3 linked regions of the Mus musculus genome follow. The protein of the gene in region 3 purifies or fractionates together with the protein of the main gene of each other region. This does not show direct contact. Links are inferred from orthologs where the notes say so. Each region holds a gene or a part of one and is shown on either strand. Other genes may lie near its edges.

Region 1 (4,251 bases), on a different chromosome or scaffold from region 3:
TGAGGTTGATGTGGAAGTTAGGAGAATGCGAGGTGGGCAGGAGAGTTTCAGTGGTGATTCCCAGTACTGACATTTTAAAAGCTGGTACTGGGGTTCAATGGTTAAGAGCACTGACTTCTGTTCCAGAGGATGTGAGTTCAATTCCCAGCAACCACATGCGGCTCACAACCATTTGTAGTGGGATCTGATGCCGTCTTCTGGTATGTCTGAGGAAAATTACAGCATACTCATATATATAAAGGCTGGCATTACTGTGTGTGTGCATGATGAGGGTGTGGAAGTGTGTGCATGTGTGAGAGAGATGTGGCAAGGGTGTGTGTGTGTGTAAGCCAAGGACAACTTTGTAAAGTCTGTTCTCTCTTTACACTTGTAGACTCATCAGGATTGTGTGGCAAGTGCCTTTGCTTACAGAACCCCCTCATGGCCCAGTATTGACATTTTAATCACTTAGTTTTTGTTATTGTTCCTATTGTCCTGAGTAGATGAAATAGATATCAAGGTGTGTGTCTTATTTAGTTTCAGTTGATACTCATTTTGACTAATATTGACTTCATACACATGGCTCCAACCTCTAAGAAAACTTTGCCCAATTCGTTTTAAAGAATATTCTAGAAAAAAAAATAAGCAAACTCATTTGTATAGTTGTGAGAAGATGTGTGTGTGTATTTTATGGTTAAATAGTAGACAAATGAATGTGTAAGGGGTCAAGTTCAATGGGGGTTAGGGCTGTCGGGGTCGGGGACCCAAGAAAAAAAGAAAGATATTCCTTTAGTATCTTTTTCCAAGCACTATAACTAGTCATGGGCTTTCCATGTTACCCAACAGGGCATCCAGCAAGACTCTGGTGTTCTAAATTTGTGCACCAAGAGATCACTGCAGTAAATATTTTCTGTCATTGGACTGTAATTATTATGCTTGTATACAATCAAAATCAACCAGAATTTCCAGAAGTATCCCAACTACTATAGTTACAAATGCCAATTGGCTTGGGGGGCAGGGGAACGTAGCTAATAATAACTAATAATTATAAACAGGACAAGAGAGGGAAGTGAGGGCAGTTTTACTTCAAACAGATTTACAAGATGATTGGCATGTATTCTTGGGGAATCCTGAGAAATGAGTCAAATCTCTAGTGGACTAGCACCCCTCCACCAGCACAGTAGCTTTTGGGTTGCCAAAGTCTCACTCTGGTAGCAAGACATCTTCTTTCTGAGCTGGGCACTCCTTTTGGTGGCCTTTCTCCACTACTCTCACCAGCGCTTGGACCCGCCCACCCTTCCCGGGCTGCGCTCCGCCCACCCTCCCTAGCCCTGCTAAGGCCCGCCCGCCTTCCAGGGCGCATCCTGTTCACTATCCCTGGCTGAGCTAGGGCCCGCCCACTCTTCTGGACCGCGCTAGGTTCCGCCCACTTTCCCGGGACACGCTCCGCCCACCCTCCCTGTCCGCGCTCCGTCCCGCCCACCCTCGCTGCGCCGGCCTCTTCCCACCAGCTCGGAGCTGCAGGCCACGGCCGAGGGGCGGGGCGGGGCGGCCGGGAGGAACCGCGTTGAGGAGCGGGAGGGAGATCCGCCGCGGAGTTACGTGAAAGTTGGTTCGAGTTTCCCGGTGTGATCCCTTGCGTTCGGCCGGCTGCTCCCGGGCTCCTTTCCTCCCTACGGCCTTCACGGTCCATTCGGCCCTTCTTTCTGCCACCGGCCGCCATGGAGCAGCCGCCGGCGTCCAAGAGGTAACGACGGCGGGAGCGGGATGAGGACGGAAGCAGCGGCGCGGGGCGGGGGCTACTAGGCCCGGCCTGCCGCCGCGACCCTGTCCCCGCCTGCTCGGCGCTGAGCGCAGCCTGGTCCAGGCGCCCACCGTTCGGCTCCGTCCCTCTGCGAGGCCAGGGACCCAGAGGGGACGCCGAGTCTCCGTGCCGACGTCTTGAGGGCCTGGTGCGCCGCAAATTGAGTGGCCCTCGCTGGGTTCCCGGCCCTTCTGGTGGCTAGGAGGGTTTGAGTAGTAAATTCCAGAAACCTGGAGATAAGGACATCAATGCACGCTTCTCTTATTCTCTCTCTCTCTCTCTCTCTCTCTCTCTCTCACACTCTCTCTCTCTCTCTCTCTCTCTCTCTCTCTCTCGATCAAGTCTTCTTAATAATATAACCATTCACTTTGTGAAGACAGATCGCTTATTTACAGTTTAAGGAATTAAGTATATTAATAGCCACGCAGAATGTAAAACATTATGGATGTGCAGCAATGACAGGTGTTTCCCCCCTCCCCCCAAAGTTCTAAAGAATTTATGGATCCAAGATAGATGGAATGTTAACTTAGAACCTCTCCCCCATATAGTTTTGCACATAAAAACAGTGATACTTTGGTATGCTATATATTGTTTATGTTTAATCATGGACATATTGGATGCATCTGTGTACAATATGTTTGAACTAATCATTTCAATCATCTTAGGAAACTAAATGTCCATTGATAAACGTTCATAATGTCTTCTCCCTGTTCTCCATGAATGAATAAAATAATTGTTTGACGCTGGGTAAAACATTTAACCTCACTTTCATTTATAATTTACAAAACTGTCTAAGAGAGTGCTATAGTGAAGATTAAAGTCTTCATGTGCTCTAATATCTAGAGATATTTAGATGTAAGGTGTTAGACTCATGAGGTGGAATCGTTAAAAAGGTAGGCACTTTGAGAACCGTTGTGAATTGTGTGATTAGACATGTGAGCCTTGGTTTCTGGAAACCATCTGTTCAGATGCAAAAAAGGGGAGGATGTGGACAGTTTCCCAGAAGGGACAGGCTATCCTTCTGGGCCCTGGAAGCAAGTCAGTTGTTAGATTCTAGCATGTTATTGGTGTCTTTCCTCTGGTAGTCCCTGGATACTCGCCTTCCCCACAATAACAGAAGAAAACCTGAAACTTTTTTTTCTTTCTGTTTTGGAAGGGCAGTAAAGGGGAGATCTTTGAGACTATGGCATAGGCCAGCTGGAATGACTGAATTGAAATAAAAGATCTGTGCTGGTTGGCTGTACTGTAAATTATCAGTTTCATTATAGCTGTAAGAAAATGCCTGCACTTGACATTAGTGAACCTGGACAATCAGAAGTTGTGGGTGACAATTCCATCGTGACTTATACTTTACAAAGCCATGCTTGCACATAAAACTTTACATTTTAAATTTCCATTTCTTCAAAGACTCATTTTAATCTAGAAATGCAATTCTTTTAGTTCTTTTGTTTTTCCCCTCATATGTTGTGCAGTGTGGCTTGAGTGCCTGGGTTTAAGAGCTCCTTCTGCCTTTGACTCAGGAATAGTTGGGACTAGGATATAGTTCCTGTGCAGGAAGGGATTGTTTTTAAAATTCCATTTTGTTGATTTGGTATCCCTGCCCTCCACCTCATGTGTGTGTGTTTCTGTAAACCCAGGCCATGACGTGTGTGTAAGTCAGCACAGCTTACAGGAGTTGTTTCTCTCCTTTCACTGAGTTCTGGGGCTTAAACTCAGGTGATCTGGCTTGGTGGCCGGTGTCTTTATCTAGTGCGTTATCTTGGTGTCCCAACAAGAAGACATTTGCAATAAGCAAAAGATACAGACTGCTAATCTTTTATATCTTAGTATCTCAGTGTTTTATTTTATAGCATTTCCAAATTAATAGTGTTTATCCTCACAACAACTCTATGCAGTAGGTTGCATTAGAAAAAGATTATAAAATCTCATTTTATAGATGAAGAGACTAGGAATTCACCAAATTGAAGCTTGTGTGTTACTGACAGTGAGTTTCTGTGTAGCCTCTTTGACCTTTGTTGTCTATCATGAAGCATAACTACCATTTTTGAAATCTTATTGTTTGCTAGGAAGTTTACTCATTGTGACTTAATGTTGGGCTTTTGTTCTCAGAGCCTCATTAGGTATTTTGTTCTGCTGTTTAGAAGGCTCATGAACCCTCATCTGCATGGTCTATCTGAAACATTTTTATGTGATAAGATTGCTACATACCCTGCTTTGGGTATTCACTTTTGGAAATAATAATCCTGGCCCTACCACTTCCTATGCTAGTTCTAAATGTAAATGTCTTCACCTGTAAACTGTATCATGGGAATGAAATGGGCTCATGTGAAGTGCTTCACAGCATGTTCAGTTCAGCGTGGTAGCTTGTATTTTATTTATAAGTGAACTCAGAGCACCAGATGTGATGGGCTGCAAAAGTGGTATATTCCTTTATTATGTAGAGTGGTGCCGTTTATAATTCTATCACA
Region 2 (3,646 bases), on a different chromosome or scaffold from region 3:
GTGGAGATGCCTCTGCGATGAGGTCATCCGTCGAGCTGTAGCGTCGTGGCCCCGCCCCTCGACGTCTTCACCCCCTCACCCCCCTCGACACCAGAGCTAAAGTCGGGCTGTCTACGTTTCAGTCCTAACGGTTGCCGCGCGGCGCTGGCCTCCGCGCAAGCGCGACCTGACACACTCACACGCACGCACGCACGCACGCGCCCGAGGCGGTGGTTAGAGGCTCTCCACGCAGTGGACTAGGGATCGGGCGGGTAAGGCGATGGGCGAGGCTGAAACACCTTCCTTCGAAATGACCTGGAGCAGCACAACCAGCAGTGGCTACTGCAGCCAGGAGGACTCGGACTCGGAGCTCGAGCAGTACTTCACGGCGCGTACCTCGCTGGTCCGCAGGCCGCGTCGGGACCAGGTGGGGAGCCCGGGGGGTGCCGCCGGCGGGTGAGGGGCGGTCGCTGGAACCCCGCCCCTCCCCGGTAAGTTGCGGCCTGGAAAGTTAGGTGATGGGCAGCCTCCCCGCCTCTCCATAGCGAGCCACTCGGAGGGTCCTGACAAAAGCGAGGAAGCGTACGTAGGGTTCTCTGTCCCGAGTAGAAGCCCAGTTCCAGCGCGATGGTACTGAGGACCCAGGCTACCCTGCCCTTGCAGTCACAGACCGGTTGAGCCAGGGGGAAGCAACTCTGAAGCTTGAAGGGTGGACCACAGGCGGGCGTTTTTCACCCATGACTAAAGCCAGACTCGCAATCCAAACCGGCGTCTTGATTTCGCATTTGGGCGCTCCCACTCCCTCCCTGGGGGAAATGAGGAAGTGGAGGAGGAGTCCACCGGGAAGTGAGAAGTTAGTTTGGGAGGGGACTCTGGCCGTGCCGTGATGCGGTCTTGGATCAGCCAGCAAAGTGCCCAGCCGTTGCTCGACCAACTCTTTGACACCAGCTGCTGGACTCGATCTTTCTTTCCTCCATGGTGGAACTGTGCAGAGGGATTTGGGGAATTCAGGAAGAGGGCCTTAAAAGACTATTAAAAAAAAAAAAGTGTGGTACCAGGGCAGCTGAACCTCTTTAAAAAGTCTAGATGTGCCCAAATTATCCGACTTTCTGGGAATATCATAGTTGTGGCCACCAAGCTCGGATAACTTGTTCTGGAGCGGGAATCCCTCGGAACAGCACAGAGGCCAGCGAATCAGGAAAGTGAGGACGGAGACTGAGGTTAGAAAACTTAGTAGCACTGAACTAGAACTCCTTATTTGAGCCAAGAAAGTGGAATTGTCTGTGATGCTGTAGGTGAGATTTGATATAAATTTCCTACAGGTGGACTGCTACTTGACACCTCCAAAACCTTAGTCCAGACTTTAGACTCAATGTGGGGTGGGAGTGGGGGCGGGAGGGTGTCTCTGGGATTGTCTCCATACCACTCAACCTGAGTCATCTTCTATTATGGAGAGGTGGGGGAAAATATAAGATACTGGCCAGTTGAAAGGCATACAAAGAGAAGAATTGTTTAAAAGCAGCTGAAGTTTATAGCTGACTTAGCTGTAGAGTGCTTAGCATTATATGTGTGATGGATGGCCTGACTTCCAACCATTAAGGAACCAAAAAATAAGAAAGAAGAAAAGGAAGCTAAGAAGTCCCAAAGAGCAGAGTAAAAGCCTGAGGGCTGGGGCTGGGCTGCAGGTTCAATCCCCAACCCAGACCCTCCTAGAATTCTCCTGGGACCAGGCACTGCCTAGCGGTGATCCCAGCTGTGTTTGTTCCAATTGCATTCCAATTTAGGGCCTTTCTGAAACCAACAGGAAGTAAGACTCACACTGGGAGTTGAGGACTGACTGCTCTTCCAGAGGTCCTGAGTTCAATTCCCAGGAACCACATGGTGGCTCACAACCATCTGTAATAGGATCTGATGCCCTCTTCTGATGCATCAGAAAACAGCTACAGTGTATTCACACATATATAAAATAAGTAAATAAATCTTAAAAAACAAAACCAAACCAGGAAGTAAGACTCAGGCAGTTAGGTCAAGTGAGTCCTGGCTGCCCTGAGCAGCAGGGTGACTCCACCCTCCCGCAGTTCCTGAAGAACCTTGTCTCTGGGCTAAGTCTTCAGACAGCGAGGGGGAAGAACAGCAGCCTCCCTGCTTGCTGCTGGTAGGACAGGCTCTGCTGGGAAATTGCCTGTACACCTCTGGCAGATGAGAACCTGGATTGAAGCTGCCTTCTATGTAGCTTGAGTCGGGGGGTAAATGGTATGTCCCAGTGTTACTTCACTATATAAGATGTGGTGTGGCTGGTCCCAAGAAACCCACTAAGGCATCTTACATTACAGAGATCAGCTTTCCTCTCCTGTCTACTGTAGTTAGACTGCTGGTGCACCAGCTCCCGTGCTGCCTACCCTCTCTCGGGTCATGTTCTGTGCTGCTGCACTGTGGGAGAGTGGGCTTTCTTCTCCAGAACAAACTGACCAAACTAGTGTTCTGGGTTCAGCTCTACAGTGGAGATGTGATTGTGTTGTGGTTTTAATTTTTGTATGTGGTGGGGGTGGAAATCAAAGGGCCTTGTACATTCTGGGAAATTACTCTATCACTGAGCTACATTTTATCCCCCAAAGTGTTTATACTTTAAACAAGATTTTTCCCTTACAGTCCTTCATGGTTTCCTGGCCCCTGGACATGTGCCTTCATTTATCTGTTTCTGTGATGTCGTTAGGGGCCACAACCAGTGCTGAGGTGGCCCCAGATAGCAGAAAGCCAAACGGATTCTACCTGTCCTTGCTCTCTCCATCTATAGCATGTAAAACCAGGAGCAATGATGGCTTCAGGATGTATGGGTTTGGTGACAGGACCAAAATCAAGTTCCAAGCCAGAAGGACCATCCCCATCCCCACCCCACCCACCAAAGAGCCTTGGCCTTTTCAAGGGCCCTGTATCTATGCTGGCCTGTCTTTCAGGATGAGGCTGTAGAGCGGGAGACACCCGATCTTTCTCAAGCTGAGACTGAGCAGAAAATCAAGGACTACAATGGCCAGATCAACAGCAACCTCTTCATGAGCCTGGTGAGTTGGCTGTTCAGGAATGTGGGAGAACAGAAGCCCAGCTCTGGGCCAGATGTCCAGAGAGTCAGAGCAAAGTATTCTGGGGTGTACCCAAGCAGCTATCTGTGCAGACCTGGCTTTACCCTGCCCCTGGACGACTCAACCTAACTCTTCCATCTCCAGTAGAACTTCCTGACATGGCATGGTTCTCCTTTTCCTTTCTTTCTTTTCAGAATAAGGATGGCTCCTACACAGGCTTCATCAAGGTTCAGCTGAAACTAGTGCGTCCTGTTTCAGTGCCTTCCAGCAAGAAACCACCTTCCTTACAGGACGCCCGGAGAGGTACGGGGCGGAGCACAGCCGTGAAGCGCCGCACCTCTTTTTACTTGCCTAAGGATGCTATTAAGCATCTGCATGTTCTATCACGAACACGGGCACGTGAGGTCATTGAGGCCCTGCTTCGAAAATTCATGGTCGTAGATGATCCTCGCAAGTTTGCACTCTTTGAGCGAACTGAACGGCATGGCCAAGGTAGGTTTCCAGTCTCAGCACTCCCTGTGTAAGGGTTATAGATCACATACCTGTGTATTAAGGGGCTGAGCCACCTGAGTCTGTCTTTAATTGTTTAT
Region 3 (3,646 bases):
ACCTCTCACTCCAGTCAACTCTGTACCCTCAGTCCCTGCTCGCTCTGGCCCAAAGATTTATTTATTATTACATGTAAGTACATTGTAGCTGTCTTCAGACACACCAGAAGAGGGTGTCAGATCTCATTACAGGTGGTTGTGAGCCACCATGTGGTTGCTGGGATTTGAACTCAGGACATTCGCAAGAGCAATCAGTTTTCTTACTCGCTGATCCATTTCGCCAGCCTCCTCCCCCCCCTTTTTCTTTATTTTATTTTATTTTTTTTTGAGACGGTTTCTTTGTGTAGCCTTGGCCGTCCTCTGTCCTGGAACTCACTCTGTAGATCAGTCTGGTCTTGAACTTATAAATCCATCTGCCTCTGCCTTCCAAGTGCTGGGATTAAAGGCGTGCGCCACCACCGCCCATCGAGGAACTGTATTAAAGGCTCACAGCAAGCATTAGGAAGGTTGATAACCACTGGCTTAGAGTGATGCCTGACTTAGAGTCTGAAGGAGGGGGACGCAGTTAGAGACTCTGCACACTGGTGAAAGGTACATGGGGTCCTTCTCAGGTGGGAGTAGCCTAAGAGAGCCAGGTGTGCGATCTCAGCACTTTGGGAAGTTTGAGGCAAGAGGTCTGTTGTGCAAACCAGTTTGTGTTAGTGTGAGACTGATACCCCAAATTCAGTGACTAAGATGGCTGTGACTCTCATGAAAGCTCAACTTGGCAGTGTGTGCCTGTAATCCCACAGGAGATGTGGAGACAGGGTAACCCTGGGCGCTCACTGGGAGCCAGCCCACCCAGTTGATGACCTGAAGATTTACTAAGGAACTCTGTCCCTGAATGTAAGATCCAAAACAGTTGAGGAGGGCATTGAGTGTTGACCTTTGGCCTCCATGTGGTACACACACACAGTTCAATACATGTGCGTGCTCACACATAGAGATGCTGTTTGGAGCCTCTGGCAGGCCCCTGTAGGTGAATCACAGAAAAGACCTTTGGGATTTTGGAGCAAAGCTCTACAGACAACTATTCTCCCTTTGAAAAACAGCTCTTGGCCGGCTATTGGGCCTTAGTGGAAACTGAACGTTTGACAATAGGACACCAAGTTACTATGCGACCTGAACTACCCATCATGAGCTGGGTACTATCAGACCCTGCAAGTCATAAAGTGGGACGCGCGCAGCAGCAGTCTATTATCAAATGGAAGTGGTATATACGTGATCGGGCCAGAGCAGGTCCTGAAGGCACAAGCAAGTTACATGAAGAAGTTGCTCAAATGCCTATGGTTTCTACTCCTGTTACAATGCCATCTGCTGCCAAGCATACGCCTATAGCCTCATGGGGTGTTCCCTATGATCAACTGACCGAAGAGGAGAAGACTAGAGCCTGGTTTACTGATGGCTCTGCACGTTATGCAGGCACCACCCAGAAGTGGACAGCTGCAGCATTACAACCCCTTTCTGAGACAACCTTGAAAGACACAGGTGAAGGGAAATCTTCACAGTGGGCAGAACTTCGGGCAGTACACATGGTATTACAGTTTGTTTGTAAGAAGAAGTGGCCAGATGTACGATTATTCACTGACTCATGGGCTGTAGCCAATGGATTGGCTGGATGGTCAGGGACTTGGAAAGATCACAATTGGAAAATTGGTGAGAAAGACATCTGGGGAAGAAGTATGTGGATAGATCTCTCCAAATGGGCAAAGGATGTGAAGATATTTGTGTCCCATGTAAATGCTCACCAAAAGGTGACTTCAGCAGAGGAGGAGTACATAGGTGTGCACATGCATACATGTGCATACAGAAAAATCTCCCAAAAGTTGAGGATTCTAATAGAGCAGAGATGTGAAGCGGATGGCCAGACAGGGACTGGTCATCTTGTTGGTCAGGCCTCAAGTCAGAGATGCTGAGGCTTCCCTGAGCCCCTTGACTGTGCCTTCCCAGGAGCTAAGCCACGGGAGCCAAGCAGACAGAAGGGAGGGAGGGCGCTGGCACTCAGCTTTTGTCTCCTGCTGCCTGCAGGTGTTCGCTCCTGGGAGGATGTGGACCCCGCTGTCTGCAGCCTGGATGAGCAGCTCAAGGCCTTCGTGTCCCGGCATTCAGCCACCTTCTCCAGCATTGTGAAAGGTGACCTGCCCCACTCTGCCTCCCTTAGTTCTCCTGCTCCTCTCTGGGTGCTGAGCTGCTGAGTGGCAGCTGTATGCCGGGCGTGGGGTGAGGCAGTGCTAAGGCCTGCACAGAGGTACCTCTGGCCTGTGGATGCTGCCTTGGTTTTGGACAGTAGAAGAAAGTCATATGCTCTGTCCCTAACTTACAGAAGGGTGTAGTGACTTTAGGGAGGGGCCCTCAGGGCTGAGAACCAATAGGGAAGCAGAGATGGGGTGCAGGGCGATTTCCTTGGGATCCTGGGGTGGCCAGAGCAGCCCTTTCATGGGTATTGCTTGTAGCTCGTCCCTGCCCAGTGGGTTGAGTCACCACCTACAGCTGCAGGAGGGGAAGGAAGTGTCCCTTTGGGTCGTAGTGGCTTCCTGACCCCTGATCCATTGGAGAAAAAGCTGGAAGTGACCTACTGTGTGACCACAGCCCTCTGGACGCCCCTTCTGGGTAGTCACATTTCTCTGGCCTGGTCTTGCAGGGGAGGGCTGAAGCTGCTGTCTGCCATGTAGAGCCTCCTGTGTGTCCTCCTGGCTTAGGTGCTGAGCTGTGCTGGTGCTGATACGCAGTCTAGCACCCCTGGCTGATCATCTGTGTTGTCCCTGCTTGAGGCCCAGGGCACCCATGGGCTTCTTCCATTTTCTTTCCTGTTTGCTCTCAGCTGGGGCACCCTGCTGTGGGTTCTGCAGCTTCAGTACCTGAGGGTCCCCTGGTGGTAGGATTTGGGATTAGGCAGCCTGAGCCGGGGCCTGGGCTTGTCATCCCACAGGGCAGCGGAGCCTGCACCACCGTGGAGAGACCTTGGAGACGCTGGTCCTGCTGAACCCCTCAGACAAGTCCCTGTGTGATGAGGTAGGAGCAGGGCCCTGTGCTGTCCTCACTCCTGACCCAGCATATGTGCTTGACACTTCTGCACCTACTTCCTCTTGTAGACTTGGGGCAGGAAGGCTGGTCATGGAATGCACTGATGAGCTGGAGGCAGGTGGGAGGAACCCATGGAACCCAATGTCCTGGCTTAGCCTCTACCTGGCCCAGGCAGGAGCTGCCCTGGGTGGTAGGAGTCTTGCTTTTGGCCAGCCTGCACCTTCCTCCCAGTCTAAGACAGCTCTGGGACTCTCTGATGCATGTCACAAATTGATCTGGGAATGTTGTCACAGGCCTGTTGTCCCAGCAGGAGGAGGCAGAAGCAGGTAGGTGAGGGCTAGCCTGTGCCTAAAGAAAGATGGAGAAAGGGCTAGGTGGGTCTTCACAGGAGTCTCACGGTGAAGGAGCCCTGCTTGGCAGGCAGATGCCAGCTGGCCTCAGGGAAGGGGAGGGCTGTGGTAGGCACACCTGCTGGTTCTGCTTTCCTTCAGCCTCTCAGTTGCCTCTGACAATGAGTTCAAAGCTGGGGCCTGGTCCAGTGCCACTCACGGGGCTGCCCACCTTACCCACAGCTCCGGAACCTCCTGATGGACCCCGCCCCTCACAAGCTGCTGGTCCTGGCCGGGCCCTGCCTGGAGGAGAC

Evidence for each region.
Region 1: the proteins of Map1s (region 3) and Stk3 purify together in Homo sapiens (affinity purification with mass spectrometry; 3 studies listed by BioGRID and IntAct, with this or other methods). This does not show direct contact. The link is inferred for Mus musculus from reciprocal best matches to the Homo sapiens genes MAP1S and STK3.
Region 2: the proteins of Map1s (region 3) and Rassf1 purify together in Homo sapiens (affinity purification with mass spectrometry; 4 studies listed by BioGRID and IntAct, counting the BioPlex papers as one, with this or other methods). This does not show direct contact. The link is inferred for Mus musculus from reciprocal best matches to the Homo sapiens genes MAP1S and RASSF1.

What each region holds. Positions count from the first base shown.
Region 1 is NC_000081.6:35,153,002-35,157,252, reverse strand, and holds the start of Stk3 (serine/threonine-protein kinase 3), read left to right. Parts: upstream 1-1,446; 5' UTR 1,447-1,700; coding exon 1,701-1,726; intron 1,727-4,251. UniProt on the Homo sapiens protein: Stress-activated, pro-apoptotic kinase which, following caspase-cleavage, enters the nucleus and induces chromatin condensation followed by internucleosomal DNA fragmentation.
Region 2 is NC_000075.6:107,554,520-107,558,165, forward strand, and holds part of Rassf1 (ras association domain-containing protein 1), read left to right. Parts: intron 1-63; exon of another isoform or gene 64-259; coding exon of another isoform or gene 260-406; intron 407-2,933; coding exon 2,934-3,038; intron 3,039-3,250; coding exon 3,251-3,548; intron 3,549-3,646. UniProt on the Homo sapiens protein: Potential tumor suppressor. Required for death receptor-dependent apoptosis. Mediates activation of STK3/MST2 and STK4/MST1 during Fas-induced apoptosis by preventing their dephosphorylation.
Region 3 is NC_000074.6:70,908,938-70,912,583, forward strand, and holds part of Map1s (microtubule-associated protein 1S), read left to right. Parts: intron 1-2,007; coding exon 2,008-2,112; intron 2,113-2,432; exon of another isoform or gene 2,433-2,589; intron 2,590-2,908; coding exon 2,909-2,991; exon of another isoform or gene 2,992-3,263; coding exon of another isoform or gene 3,264-3,329; intron 3,330-3,575; coding exon 3,576-3,646. UniProt on the Homo sapiens protein: Microtubule-associated protein that mediates aggregation of mitochondria resulting in cell death and genomic destruction (MAGD). Plays a role in anchoring the microtubule organizing center to the centrosomes. Binds to DNA. Plays a role in apoptosis.